Linked DNA regions of Neodiprion lecontei. The protein of the gene in region 1 purifies or fractionates together with the protein of each later gene. This does not show direct contact. Links are inferred from orthologs where the notes say so. Each region holds a gene or a part of one and is shown in the gene's direction. Other genes may lie near its edges.

The links. The genes of interacting proteins can lie anywhere in the genome.
Region 2: the proteins of U2 snRNP-associated SURP motif-containing protein (region 1) and calcium homeostasis endoplasmic reticulum protein purify together in Homo sapiens (affinity purification with mass spectrometry; 4 studies listed by BioGRID and IntAct, with this or other methods). This does not show direct contact. The link is inferred for Neodiprion lecontei from reciprocal best matches to the Homo sapiens genes U2SURP and CHERP.

What each region holds. Positions count from the first base shown.
Region 1 is NC_060264.1:17,304,055-17,311,298, reverse strand, and holds the start of U2 snRNP-associated SURP motif-containing protein, read left to right. Parts: upstream 1-2,766; 5' UTR 2,767-3,065; coding exon 3,066-3,089; intron 3,090-3,175; coding exon 3,176-3,292; intron 3,293-4,273; coding exon 4,274-4,370; intron 4,371-4,879; coding exon 4,880-5,197; intron 5,198-6,318; coding exon 6,319-6,383; intron 6,384-6,477; coding exon 6,478-6,643; intron 6,644-7,244.
Region 2 is NC_060263.1:36,425,744-36,433,739, forward strand, and holds calcium homeostasis endoplasmic reticulum protein, read left to right. Parts: upstream 1-1,569; 5' UTR 1,570-1,795; coding exon 1,796-1,814; intron 1,815-2,735; coding exon 2,736-2,906; intron 2,907-3,593; coding exon 3,594-4,266; intron 4,267-4,401; coding exon 4,402-4,473; intron 4,474-4,699; coding exon 4,700-5,096; intron 5,097-5,178; coding exon 5,179-5,585; intron 5,586-5,742; coding exon 5,743-6,117; intron 6,118-6,343; coding exon 6,344-6,638; 3' UTR 6,639-6,865; downstream 6,866-7,996. Other genes in the region: eukaryotic translation initiation factor 3 subunit G, read right to left, coding at 89-536. UniProt on the Homo sapiens protein: Involved in calcium homeostasis, growth and proliferation.

The sequences.
Region 1 (7,244 bases):
ATGTCGTCTCCGAAGTCGCGTTGGCGAGATACGACCGGTTAAAGAAGTCCCGCTAAGCGCCGGCATGTAGGCAACCGAGCATACAGCAGCCACTGGTTAGCGGTCTTGTTGATGCGCACTCATTGCGTGCTTGACTATTGATGCAAAACAAAATGGTTTCAAATTCACGAATTTCAAACGAAAACACTCTTGACATTGAATTTCCCCCAAACACAACAACGAGGACGTGCGATGGAAATAGCCTTATCATTCATTCACGTTGAACTGTATAATCGGTCTCATTCGGTTTTGCATCGTTCTCGTTTAGTATTCTGAGTGGTATATTGCTTCTTTTTTTGTTGACTAGCATGCCGCGATTGACGTTCAATAAACAAGCTGACATGCAACTTGCATACGGAGCTGCAGAAAGAAATTCGCTGTTAGCCCAACGGATTTATGAGCACCGCTTTCCTGATCGAGTACTTCCGCACTACCGTACGTTTACAGCAGTGCATCGGAGGTTCCGTGAGACAGGTTCGTTTTAGATATGTTTCAGGTCATTTTCCAAATCTGTCAAACAGTTTAAATACGAAACATTTTTCGAATTATTTATTATCATTAGGCCTCGCGTAAACCAAGGGAAAAGAGCTGCAGCATTTCGAAAACAACCGGTCAACGAGTTTCCGTGCGGCTGCATCTTCACTTGACATCAGCCGTTCAAAGATTTTTCGAGTTTTGCACGACGATGGGAAAAATCCATTCCAACGGCAGAAAGTTCATGGTCTCTTTCCTGAGGATTAATCTGCTCGGGTCGATTTGTGTTGGTGGTTGTTGGAACGCGACGCGAATGACCCAGAGTTCCTCAACAAAGTTGTTCTCTGATGAGTTCTCATTTACGCGAGAGGGGATGTTTAATTCACGTAACAGTCATGTCTGGATTCAAGTGAACCCTCATGCTACTTTCAAACATGCACATCAGGTAAAATTCGGCGTAAACGCGTAGGCAGGGATTCTTGACAACCAGCTAATTGGAGTTTGTTTCTTACCGTCACGCTTGAATGACCGAATGTACCTAATTCGTCTGAAAGAAGTCCTACCGGAATTCTTGGAGAATGTTGCACTTGGTATCAAGCGCCAAATGTGGATAATAAAATTTGATATCGAAAACACTGTTGTAGGGAATTCTTAAACTCGAAAACGTTCTCCATTTTCATCACGCAGCTTCGTTATTGTATTTGGCGCAAATTCAATGTGCGTTTCGAGCGATCAACAAGACCACTAATCACTGCCTGCTGTATACTCGGTTGCCTACATGCCGGCGCTTAGCGGGACTTTTTTAACCGGTCGTATCTCGCGAACGCGACTTCGGAGACTACGTATTCTTTGAGTGTATTTACTCAGTTTGATATTTTCTATAACCCCTGTTAGTTTGGTCACTTGGAGCTGGGACACCCTGCATCACCATTTCTGTGTTAAAAGTAAAAATAAATGATGTAGCTAATTCATAATTATATATTTATTCTCAAAGTTAAGAATCGTTATTTGCTTCACGTATTCAATTACTATAGTATAAATATCAGTGCACGCTATCTACAAGTTGTATACATCTTTTGTTTACAGGAGTGATAAATGGTTGAAATTCGTTGAACAAAACAATGATTTTTGTCATATTCGAATTTGTACAGACCATTTTGACAATAACCTGATTATAAAGAAATTCCCAAGGCCGTTGTTAGTATGAAATGCTGTACTAACCATTCGTAAGCTTCCTGAGGCAAAATAGTCCCTAAAATCACACAGCCAGAAATCTGTTGAAGGTATATAAATATTGGTTTCTATACCTTGATCGATATATTTTTCGTAATTTCATGTGTCAATGTGGAATTTCGAATTACAAATAAACATACAGGGTCGGGTTTGCTAAAAATAGCAGAACAGAACAGAGTATCACCCGCTCAAACACAGACAATCAATATTCATTCCAATAATGTATCTCAGATAGTGATCTCAGGTGAGGACGGAAAAGTAATTGTAAATATTATCAATGACCCAAGAAACCCAGTAGTTACACATCAGAACGTACAAAAATCAAATCAAACCTTAGCTACTAAGTAAGCATGTTTGATTCTGCTACTGGTATCAATCCAACTAATTGTACATAATAAATTTAAGTTGACATTAATTATCGATCAATACATAATAATTGACATTGTGATATTTGATTAATAATAATTACATCTAAGATTGGATACCGTAATATTATTATAATATCTGGTAACGGTGTGCTGAATACCATAAAAATATTTCTTGCCTATTTGGAATAAAAATTAATTTTTCAATAATGAAATATTTTGGCATCATCTTCCAACGCACACTCCTCTCAATTCACCGTGTCTGATTGTGAGTTTGAAATTGGCGCTAAGGATTGGCCGTTTAAAAGGCTGAATTGAAAGAGGCGCTGAACGCCGTGAACATCATTGTCAACACAAAATTACATTGCGGCCTTATGGCAGCCCCCTGACACTCACCACTGCTCGTATACTAAAAAATTGTACGCGTTTTGTTCCCGTTTTTTAGTTCTTCCACGTGGTGCTAGTAGACTTTAGACACGTCGCTGCCCTCGCTGACCGCGCGCAAGCTTGACAGACAACTACTAGCGCCACTAGTGGTGGAAATTGGCGGCAGAATCGAGGGACATTTTGCGAACCACTGTTAGCAGCATGTGTCAGGGGGCTCAGCGTTCACTCTATCTAATTCTCTTTGCATAAACCATGACATAAAACCTTTTTGCATTCGATGCTTCGGGTTTTTCGAATCGTTGTGTGTCTGCGAAAACTGCTGAATAAAGTTTACTCAGTGACTGACAAATGTAATGTAACATTATAAAGTCCGTGCGGAATTATTTGTCTATTTCGTTCGGCGAGAATTTATGCAGTTGAGACACTTCCATCGATTTTCGTCCCTGCCCGCAAATATCGCGTCGCGAAAGATGAATTTTTAGGTTAAGCTTATCGCGTCGGATTACCCGATTGTATAGCCCTTATATTCATACTTCCACATCAGTCTACATCACAAAAACAGACGAGATGGCGGACAAGGCAATGATGAAGGTACGCCCACCTAATTGTTTTAAATTTGACAGTGAATTATATCGGCACAACACGTACATTCAGCCCTTGCGATTTTAACGTTGCAGCAAATTGCTGAACAGAAGTTGAAAGCGTTCTCCATAGGCACGATGGGAAAGCGGCCTCTCAGCAAAAAAGAACTCGAAGAACAACGAAAAAAGGAACAAGAGCAGGCAGCGGCTCAGGTAGATAAAGTCTCACAAACGGATAAAGAAATTCAATGCTGTCTTTCGCATGGAAGAGGGACTCTGCTAGAGTCGCCTATAAACACAAGGCATTGCAATGTCACTAAATTTTACGATTTTAACATCGATGATCACATGCGTTAGCAACTCTGAAGCAACGCCACTTTAAATTGTAGTATTATTGTAGAAAAAGAATATCATTATTACTGAAAACTTTTGTGATGATTAAAGAATGAAGTAGACGTGCTGTATAAAACAAAAGCTAAGAGAATAGAAAAAAACTGTACAAACAATTTTCAGCCATATTATTTGCGTCAATGGTGGTGAATTTGAATGACATAATATCTTTACTGAGTGTTGGAAATGGATCCGAGTAAATTCAAGTCACATGTACGATATCAACAATTTCAGAATTTAAAATACTTGAGTTTTGGTGTTTTTAATTCGATTTTAATGTTCTTAGACTTATTTTTTGCATAAAAGTTTTCCAAAGATTATTGTACCGTATTTGCAAAAATCTATGGTCATTTTTTTTTGAGAACTATTTGCTAAACATTTGTCAGGCTACCTCTTGTGATCTCTATAGTGAACAAAATAAGCCAAGAAACATTAGAATAGAATGAAAAACACCATAGTTTAATAATTTCAAATATTGTAATTACACCACCTCAAATTGTCGATATCCTTACTAGTGTTTTCCAAATTTACATAAAATCATTTCTATTACATAATAGCGATATTTTTTCATTTGTGTACACCAAGATTAGTGGGCAAAAAATATTGCTGGAGATTGTTTAGATGGTTTTTCACTTTTCCTAATTTCTGATTTATTCTAATAGTGACCAAATTCATTTTATTTTTTTGCGAGATTCGTGTGGCTAGTAACTAGTGCTAACATCAGCGGAGTCACTATCTCAGAATTTACCTATTTTTAAAAGTATTTCTAGCTCGAGAAAAAGTTAACAATTTTTCTTACCTTAGGCTTTTGAAGAGTTTGTCGCAACATTTCAAGAAACTCCTAACAAAACAAGTAATAAAATCTGGGTGAAGGCCGGAACTTACGATGCCGGAAAACGACGTAAGCTTTAGTTATTCAAATTTGAAAATTAATCTTATAACGCTGAAAATGCAGCTTCAATCAAAGTCTGAGAATTCAATGTAAAAAAAATTGCACCTTATGATACGATGTCATCAATTTTCAATTATTCTTGCTGTCATGTATACCTTTGGAACAAAATTGTATTGAATAATTAGAATTAAATTTTTGAAGCACCGGTATGTTCGAACTATTTGCATAGAGAGTTTTTCACAGGTAGTTTGAATTAAATTTAATAAACACTCCTAAAAACATTAACACAATTCCTAAGCAAAAGAAGTCTCGAATTACATCGATGATTCCTGTTTGCTAATTATTTTATTATAATTTTGGAACTGTCCTGGAATTTTATACGTTATTGTTATCTGTTACCTTGTGTTCGTAATTTCTCAGACTTAGGACGTAATCTTTTACACATATCTCAAAATTCGTTGAAACCAAATTGTGCCAAATCTTATTGTAAAATTATTTTTGAAATCTCGTTTACTCAGAGGAGGACACAAGGGAGAAGGGTAAACTTTACAAACCACAGTCAAAAATCTCTGAGCTCGTGGACAACAAATCCTCGGCTGAGCAAGCACAGGAATACGCACGACTGCTTGGTAGCAATGAGAGGAAACTCGACAGATTGGGTAAAAAGAAGAAGGAGGGTGAAAAGAAGAAAAGCAACCTGGAGCTTTTCAAGGAAGAACTTAAAATGATACAGGAAGAGCGGGAGGAAAGACACAAGTACAAGGGAGTAGTGAAAACAGTAATTTCAGCCCAAACTGAGGACCCGATGCTCGCCGCTCTCAAATGCGTCGAAGGTGGTAGATATTTAACCATTACTTAAATTTTTTTTTTATTCTCAATCCATCTCTCAAAATCCTAGTCAATCCAAAGTTCGATTTCTTCATTGAATTATTATAGCCCAAATTCACACTTTAGTCATAGTTATTGAACAGTCTATGGTTTCAACTTCAAATTATTCGTTCCTGGTAGTCTCATTGAGTCGAATTGCAATTTTGCTAGGTACGTGCTTCTATCCAGACCCGCGAAAGGCTAATCTGCGTAACTTCATAGACGATCCTAGTCTCCTAGCCCTGATCTACTCGGGTAATTCCCAATCCCATCCTACAATTTATTTGTCCGCACTTTCAGAGTAATTTTCTTCGTACTTTACACAGAATTCACCCATGGAGTTCATTGTCAATTTTTTTGTGAATTGAAGAAACGTTGCTCTTGATAGAAACACTCAAAATTTAATTATTTTTCCCTAAATTCAAAAATGTTTTGTGTGTCAACTACAAACTTTTACTAACAGGAAAACATTTGTATCTACAGCGTAGTGATTGAAATATCTTGACCTTGATTCATCAGCTATATTTTTATACCAAATCTTGTCAAAAAAATCGTTTGGAATAAATTGAAGAGACTAAATTTCGAATATTTCAAATTCTGTTTAAAACGCTCAATATTTGATTGCCAGCGATTACATTTCATTATCTGTTCCACAATTTTTACTGAGCCAATACTAATCTATGTTTGTATAATACAGATTTATCTCAAAATGCCAACATCGAAACTAACGAAATTGTTTGATTAGCAAAATCTAATAAATTTCTTTTGGATATCTTCAAAAAAGTTTTCGATTTAACGCACATTGCAAACATATGGAAAGAGATAATTAGCCATAGTATCATTGAATTTATGGAGAATAATGTAAGGTAACAGTAAATGTAAGGTACAATATATTATAAAACGTCGTTATTTCAGAAACAAATATTTCTAAAATGCACCGCTTCATGTCTTCTTGATTTGAGCAACGTTTTTTGAATATTAAGAAACGACCGTGATCGCCTTGTGGCTGTGATGGGAATTCTAGAACGGAATTACTCTTCATTGAAAAATAATTAAAAGGATTTTCAAACACATCAATTTGGCTTTACAGATGGTTCCTTTGACAACGGAGATCCAAACACGACAAACTTGTACCTTGGTAATTTGAATCCAAAGGTATGCATTCGCCCTCTTTAAGCTTTTCACAGTACTTTGTGTATCAATTAATTTCCATCTGTGTCCCTCAAAATTGACATTCACTCTCTGACAGATCACAGAACAGCAGTTAATGGAAATATTTGGCAAATATGGACCGCTGGCCAGTATAAAAATCATGTGGCCTCGCAGCGATGAAGAAAAAGCCAGACAAAGGAATTGCGGTTTCGTTGCATTCATGAGTCGCAAGGATGGCGAACGAGCATTAAAAAATCTAAACGGTAAGTCTCTCACTTCCCACTAGCAACAAACTTTGTCCAACAGTGTACAGAAAATCTTTTGCGAAAGGTTTCTTCTTGCATTGAAACTTTCATCACAGAAGATTAACATTTTTTTCGCCGCACATACTACTCTAATGTACATTAGGGTGGTCCTTGTTTAGGGTGTTGATGAATTTTTACCACCCCATCACCGAAATCAATTTCAAATCATTTAAAAAGAGTCGCCAAGTTTTTTTCAGATTCTTACAGCAAGTCTGAGATAGCCCGCATTGTGATCGAAGTTTCTTATGGAAGTGACATCGGAAGAACTTTTTTTCGCACTATATATTTTATCATGAAAGTAATAATGTTTCAAAAAATTTGTAACTGCGAGGTTTTCGTCGGCATTAGTGATGCTATATGAAAAAAAAATACACATCATCGTACGAGGCAATCTAGACGAATTGCACTTCCTCTAAATAAAAAAGAAGTCAGGTTTCGAGGTTGTGCAATTCGTCTAGATTGCCTCGTACGATGATGTGTATTTTTTCCCAGATAGTAGCACTAGTTCTCACCAAAACCTCGCAGTTAAAGATCATTTGGAACATTATTACTCTTGCAA
Region 2 (7,996 bases), on another chromosome or scaffold:
TATAGCGAGGGCTCCTGAATATTATAAAGTTTTTGGATGAGTGAATGCAAGAACTTCAAATAATGGGTAAATATCAGTATCAAGTTACCTCCAGCGAGTATAGTGTCTTTGTAAGGACACTTTGAAGTCCAGTGATCACCATTGCAGTTACGACACTTGACGACACCCTTGTCCCCGATACTCTTCAATTTGTCAAGTGAGTCTTCTTCGACCTTGTTCTCTTCTTCCTTATTTGAAATGAACTGCATGAAGACATCTTCTGCTCCGACAGTTGTGGCTGGATTTGGTCCAGGTCTGTCGTCCGAGGAGTCTCCAAACTTTGCCCAGTTTTTCCGCACGGCTATAGTCTTTGATACTATACGACGTTCCACCTTATATGTACGGACAACTTTTACTTTCTTATCGTCTTCGTTGTATTTGTATTCTGTAAGGATTTTGAATCCATTTTCATAGACCTCTGTCGGTGGTGGCAGTGCTCCTCCTTCTTCCTCAACTTCATCTGCCCAACTGGATTTAACTTCTTCTGTTACCGGCATGTCTGCAAGTTTGAAAAACACCTCTAATCTAGTAGATGGGTAAACAATAGTGTTGGGCCAAGTATATCAATCCTAACGTTTTTTCTACCTTTTACTAGTTGTTTCTCTTTAACGTTTCACATGTCTTTTAATTGTAACTTATCAAACTTTTCAGCCTCTAGAAGAATTCCAATTCAAGCGGAAGACTTTCGATTTTAAATTACTATCAATTTCCCTGTACAGGAACCTTCGATTGTTAAGAAACATTTGTTTACACCTGATTGATTAAGGAAGTGTAGATAGCGAACGGAATAATAGCGAGCAATTTACAAAGTAAACGATCTTCATAAATTTATAAATGTATATTTAGGATTTCAAAGAATGGTGGAGATCCAGAATATCTCTGCGTTTGAAAGGATAGTACGACTCAGGATGGAGCATTGAACTATTTGAGGTTAGGGTATCGCAACGTCTCGAGTATTGATACCCATCATTCCAATCAATTCATGAAAGTAGCGTCGATTAAATTTAGAAACGCGACACAATGATTTGGCAACTGGAAGACTCTTTAACCTGGTAAAATGATCGTAACATTGTAGAAGATACTGAAAATTGCATTTGAGTAGATCAACCTCACGTGTCATAAATTTTGGAATCTCAGCCGGCGTTGAGCACCTTAATGAAAAATGATATGGAATAGCAGATATTACTATTATATTACAAACTTACCTGTTCTCCGTGAGTAACGGTATCGGTGTAACGAAACGTAATACTTGGAAGATTTTAAAAGAACTTGACAACGCTTCGTCGTACATATGTCCGTCGGATAGACGATCAGCCAAAATGGAAGAAATGCCAGTGGCGTTGGGGGCGATCGCTGCTCCCTCTGTGCGTTACATCGAAAACTTTAGCGACGAATGTAGATGAATGGCTATAAGTTGTCTGTGGATCACGGTGAATGCAGCCAGCATCATGTCGAAATCGTATCTCTCTGATGTTCTGCAATAAGTTCTCAACTCTACCGTTGGAACATCTCAGAGGGCGCAAGCGCACGACGATTTTCGGTTGTCACACCAAAGTCCACTAGGGGGACTGTCTTTACATTCTTGAGTCACCGGCGAGGGAGACGAAGTGAAAAAAATGGCGATGTCTAGCGTTGTCGCTGTATCGTGAGCATAATGGTTTTCGGCACAACATTACAGTTGAAAATACGATAGAGTTTCATTATTAAGTGTGAATTATTCGTTACACGACGAGTCTCGAGTACCCACGAAGAAGAAATGGATCAGGCTCCTGCAGGTAGAGAAAAAAAATCACAATCCCAAGAATCAACGAAGCGCGGTATTATTTCCACACTACGTATCACGTATCAATTAATTTTTCGGCTTAATTTTTCGCCCATCAATACAATATTACTCTCCACCTTTACAACTTGACGAGTAAATACAAATCACTGCAGATTTCTCTCACCCTGTGCTACACAAACATATCGTTGTGTACAGGAATTGTATTAGGTTATGTGGCTCCTCTCACGTCCACCTTAAAATTGCCGAAATCGGCACCCCGATGAGAATTTGGAATTTTGATTTATTACTAAGTATGACTATCTACGAATCTTTTACAACACTCGGCGAAATATCGGTGATTATTTTTGTTTTCCACGTTCACATTCATTGTCCGTTCGCTGCTTTCTCTCCTACAATCACCCTTCAAGATATACAATCTGTTAATCAAACCTTAGGTATGGTTATGATTTTAACAGGGTAAATATTTGTATTCCATATTCATTTCACAACACGTAATCGACATCTAAATTGCGATCAAACAAGTCTGGAGAATCTTTTAAGTTATATCATAAACGATTTGTCTCAAGAGAAATATCTGATACTCTTCAATACCGCAATAACATTATATTGATATCCTTATCTTGATATCATATCTTGTTCTGCGATGGTTACATATTGTTTCCATTTATATTTTAAAGTTAATAAATAACAGGATAGCTATCTAAATGTTGGATTATTTTTTATATCAGAACTGTAACTAGGATATTGTACTTATATGTCATAATGATTTCTTGAATATTTTAGAAAATAATCTGTCTAGAAAATAATACCGGGTAAGATGATGATCCTTTTTTTCCATGAAATATGATGTAAGCTTACATTGTTGTTGGATGCCGATTGTTCTAACAAAGTTCTGTTTTAAATGATTTAATAGACACGGACTTGCGCAACATCATAGACAAGCTGGCTCAATTTGTCGCACGTAACGGACCAGAGTTTGAGCAGATGACGAAAAACAAGCAAAAGGATAACCCGAAGTTTGGTTTCCTGTTTGGCGGAGAGCACTTTAACTACTATCAATACAAAGTGACAACGGAGCAAGCCAGTAAGTGGGAACAAATCCCCTTAACAACGTACAAAAAAAGGTCTTCGTTCAATGAGCTAGAAGCAAACCCAAAAAAAAAAAAAACAAAAAAACGACTATGAGAAAACGTATGAAATCGTCAAATGAACAAAACATCACCACCGTGCAATGAGATGAAAAATGTCATTTGTGCAAATCAGGACATCGTTCAAGATTTTGGGAATCGTTATTTATTATAAGACTTGAAAAAAACTAGAAATGTGAAAGGGGCTTTCTTAAAATACAAATAAGAACAAGATGTAGCTTTAGGATTGTTATCTGATCCAAGATTAGATCGGCAAGGATACAAATGTTTAAAATACCAACTACTTTTATGTTTATGAAGAGTACTACACACTGCCGCAGTAAAATCTGTTTTACATACATGCTCCTGTACTCAACTGTTTGGTGTAGCACGATGAAAGAAAGAAAACAACACATTCTGTGTTCAGTGGCGCTTTAAATTTAACAGTAGACTTAATGCATTCTTACATGATGCCAGAAAAATTAATATGTGCCATTCGAAGATATTCATCCAAAAAACAACCGAATTAAAAATGACAAAAAAATAACAAAAAAAAAGTAAAAAACATGGACCATTAGTTTATTTTTTCAATATCATGAAGAAATGAAAACAAATTGCAATAATCCACCGTCATTCGTTTACAGTTTTAAAGCAAAAAGGAATAAATCCAATGCAAAATGCCGACCCACGTTTAAACGTTTCGCAGCAGCAGCAAACAGCCGCGGCCGTCGCTTCGCCACAAAATAACGTCAGTCTTGCCTCGAGCCTGAGCGCTCAAAACAACGGTTTAAGCCAAGTGGTCGGGAACCCAGGGCCCGTTATACCAGGGATAACTGGGGTACCCGGAGTATCCGGAGTTCCAGGACCAATCGGAGGGCCTGGAAATGTGGGACCACCTGTTGGGGCCATTCCTGGACCAATAAGGAACGTGAATTCGCCGATCGGAGGAGTTAATTCTGGTGTCAATATTGCCGGTCCTTCAGGTTGGTTGCGAAATGAACTTGCGCAGCTTCAGTCACAGCAAGCTACACTCCGAGAACAAGTTAGGCAATCTGAGCAAAACCTCGCTGCCCAACACGCCGCTTTAATGGCTCAACAACAAGGGAGAGTCGAGGAGGCTGTCAGACAAGCTCAAGAAGCATCGCTGCAAAATAATGCTCAGCATACAAACACTGACCTTTCTGCATTTGATTCTGTACTACAACCCATTATCGAGAGCTGCACTAAGGACAGCATCAGTGCCGGAAAGGCTTGGATACTACAGAATTCTATCACAGCACAAAGCAATCAAGTTATCGCTGAGCATTTGCTGAAAAAGTATGTATATCTGTTCATCACCATTTCTCGATGTGTTTAAAGTTATCAAAATTTCACATCAAAGCTTAGCCGGCAACAAAACCATATTAATTTTTTTTTTAATCGAATTATAGTAATTTCTGTAATAAATTTTAGAGTAATTCAAGGAGCAGCTTTCAGCCAGAAGTTACACGTGATTTACTTAGTAAACGATGTTCTTCATCATTGGTAAGCACACAAGTGTATTTCACAAAGAGGATTATTATTTCAAAAGTTTATTTCGACTCAGTGCTTACCTGAAGGTAGGATAAGCAGACTGGTCAAATGAATGCAAACTGGAAATGCATATAACTGGTTTATAAAAGATATTCTAGAATTGGTTCTGTACCTTTTTATCCAACACATACAATATAATCATGTATACATTATTGTAAATCTTAAAACAATTTCTTAGTGCGAGGAAAAAATCAATCGATCTTCGCAAAGCAATGGAAAGCGTTGTTGTCCCGATGTTCTGCAACACGTCATTGGCTGCTACCGATGAACAGCTTAATAAATTGAACAAACTTTTAAGCCTTTGGGAATCTAAAAATAATTACTTTGACGATGGAATAATCGAGAAGTTGAAGCAACCGAGTATATCTTGGTCAGAATACCAGGCCAGTTTAGTTTCAAAACATGCAAGTGCCATTACACCAATCACCACATCAACCAAACAGACTTTTGAAAATTATCAAGCTCAGCATCAGGCCTTCATCAATCATGCTATGAGACAAATTCAAACTATAGAGCAGCAGAAAATTTCCATTGATCAGCAGCTTAAAGCTCCACCACCTCCGCCACCGCAAATGGTAAGCTTTGTTGTAAAATAAACTGATATTGCATATTCAAAAAATGTTTCGCGCTTCTAATTAATGAAAATGTTTTATACAGAACCAACCAAATTTAAACATACCACCAACTCACACTGGGCCGCCTCCTCCAATGTCTGGTGGTGATATGAATTTTAGTCAGCCCCCACCAGGCTGGGGAGTTCCTGGGGCTCCGGAACCACCTCCGTTTACCAATGTTCCATTACCGGACTTCTCTAAACCACCACCTGGCTTTGGCCCTCCACCGATCATTCACGAACCATCCATGGAAGATCTTATGCCTAGTATGCCATACTTCGAATTACCAGCTGGCTTAATGGTCCCACTCATCAAATTGGAGGACGGCGAATATAAGTCATTAGATCCAGATGCTATAAGACTTCCACCACCGGCTCCACCGAGTGATAGATTAGTTGCTGCAGTCGAAGCATTTTATGCTCCTCCAAATCACGATTCACCCAGGGATAGGTAAATCAATGTTTAGTAATAATTTCATGTTATACCGACACATTTACATACGATATTCAGGCAAATACACCAATTCACAGCGATGTGACGCTGATGTTAGGTATATTACTATTGGACTAAATGCATGCATGCTTATATTGTTACTATCGAATTTTAGTGACGGCTGGGAGAAACTCGGTCTGTATGAGTACTACAAGGCGAAAAATGCGGCACGCAAACGAAAGGAGGAAGACATTCTGAGTGGATTAAGACAGAGGTCTCGATCACCGTCCCCTATTTTAAGGCCACGATCTAAAAGCCCGAGTCCGCCCAAAAAACGATACAGAAGTAAATCTCGCAGCAGATCCAGGTCTAGATCGAAGGGCCGAAGCAGATCTAGATCACCAACGAGTAATCACCGGCGCAATTCCCGTAATAGTAGCAATCACAATAGCAGGAGTAGGAGAAACAGAAGAAATAGCAACAAAGAAAGGAGTCCAGACAGCAAGCGAGGGGACAGATCTGACCGAAGTCCTACGCCACCTAGTTTTCTGTAAGCATATTTACGTCATTATATTTTTTTTAAACTTAATTAGTGAGTTAAAATTATTTAAAATTCGCGTGGTTAGTTTCCTTGTACGATTTTTCGTAACTTTGTCAAATGGAAAAATCAATTTGTTGACTTTTTTCGATATAGTTCCGGTACAAAAGTACATTTTTCATTCAAATGAATTTTACCAATATGTGATAACGAAATGCTGACTTATACACTTCAATAGGGGATCAACGTACAGCAAAGCACAGCAGGAGATAAGTTTAGATGAGAGTAATAAAGGCCATCAATTATTGAAAAAAATGGGATGGGGTGGAGCTGGTTTGGGTGCAAATGAACAAGGAATTGAAGCACCGATATCAGGAGGGGAAATACGGGACAAAAATGACCAGTACAAAGGTGTTGGGATTAATTTGAATGACCCGTACGAGAACTTCAGAAAAAGTAAAGGCCAAGCTTTTATCACGCGAATGAAAGCAAGAGCGGAGGAAAGAGCGGAAGAAAGAGCAGAACGAGATTGAATTATTTTATAATTAAATATATGATATTGTCTCTAATATCGACATTGTAAGACAAAAGTGCGGCTGTTTATACGTATACTCACGTGTACGTACTTGTACGTGTACATAATATAGATGTACACAGTGTAACCGTTGCTTGTGAGCAAAGGAACAGAAATGAAAAGGGAGACGCATTTTTTTACTTGACGAAGGAAGACATTTTCGTAAAATAAAAGATTTTGCATTCATACCATTTGGTATAAAAACACCCTAAAACAATGTGGAATAATTAAAAAAGACTTACTACGTTGTTTATTGTTTCATCAAAATGGAAACTTAACGATAGCCCCTGATTTTTGCATGGTCTTTAGTCATGGTCAAAGCTTAAAGATTCTTTGACTTTTGAACGATATTATTTATTACTTTATCGTATTCAACCCCGGCAATATGTGTCAGTTTTTATATGTACGGATCACAATGTGTTTTCTTACACGAATAACTAAGTCTACACAGTTATTTCATCGTTTAAAAGTTCGTTAGCTATTTGCGAGGAACGTTTCACAATTTTAACTGCTATTCTGAAACAACACAAAAAAAGAAACAACAATTAGTAGAAAGGGCGCATTCAAGCATCAACAAGAATATTATGTTATCAAATGATGTGTACAATGTCAATACGTTTACAGAAATTTGTTCATAGAATGAAGATAATCTGTACGAAAGGAGAATAAATAAGAAAAAAAACGTTACAGAATTTAAAAAAACGAATGCATGCTTGTATACTACCAATTTGATTTACCTGATCAGTAAAACAAATTTATGGATTATAGAAATCACGAATAATTAATGGCGGATTGTCTTTCGATTAGAATCATGTAAAAGGATTTATGTCAGTTAATTGTGGTTCGCTGTTTGAGCTAAGATCAAGTATTGATAAAACTTTGGTTATTTGCGGTTGGTAAAAAGACTAGTGGTTTTTGATTTTTTTTTTAACTACCTAAAAGTCAATAATTAGAAACAGTGAAGCTTAGTTCAGGCATATCTCGCATAAGAAACAAGAATAAAAACGAAAAGAAATCATGGTGGGTTGAAATATTACATTGTAGCAATGAAGAAAGGAAGAGAAAACTTAATCAAAGAACGGAAAACTGCCTATACCCGTATACATTACTCATTATTTATAACGTACATATTTTGCATTTCCCATTACTGATTTTATGTGTTTATTATTTCGAGCTGAGAATAGACTCGTTATCATTAATTTACAATTACAGTTGTTGAAAGTATAATATGTATATACTCAAGTCAGTGCATTTCTCTCCAGGAGCAACAACATGCCTTATTTGAAAAAATGTTGAAAATTCAACAACTGTATTTAT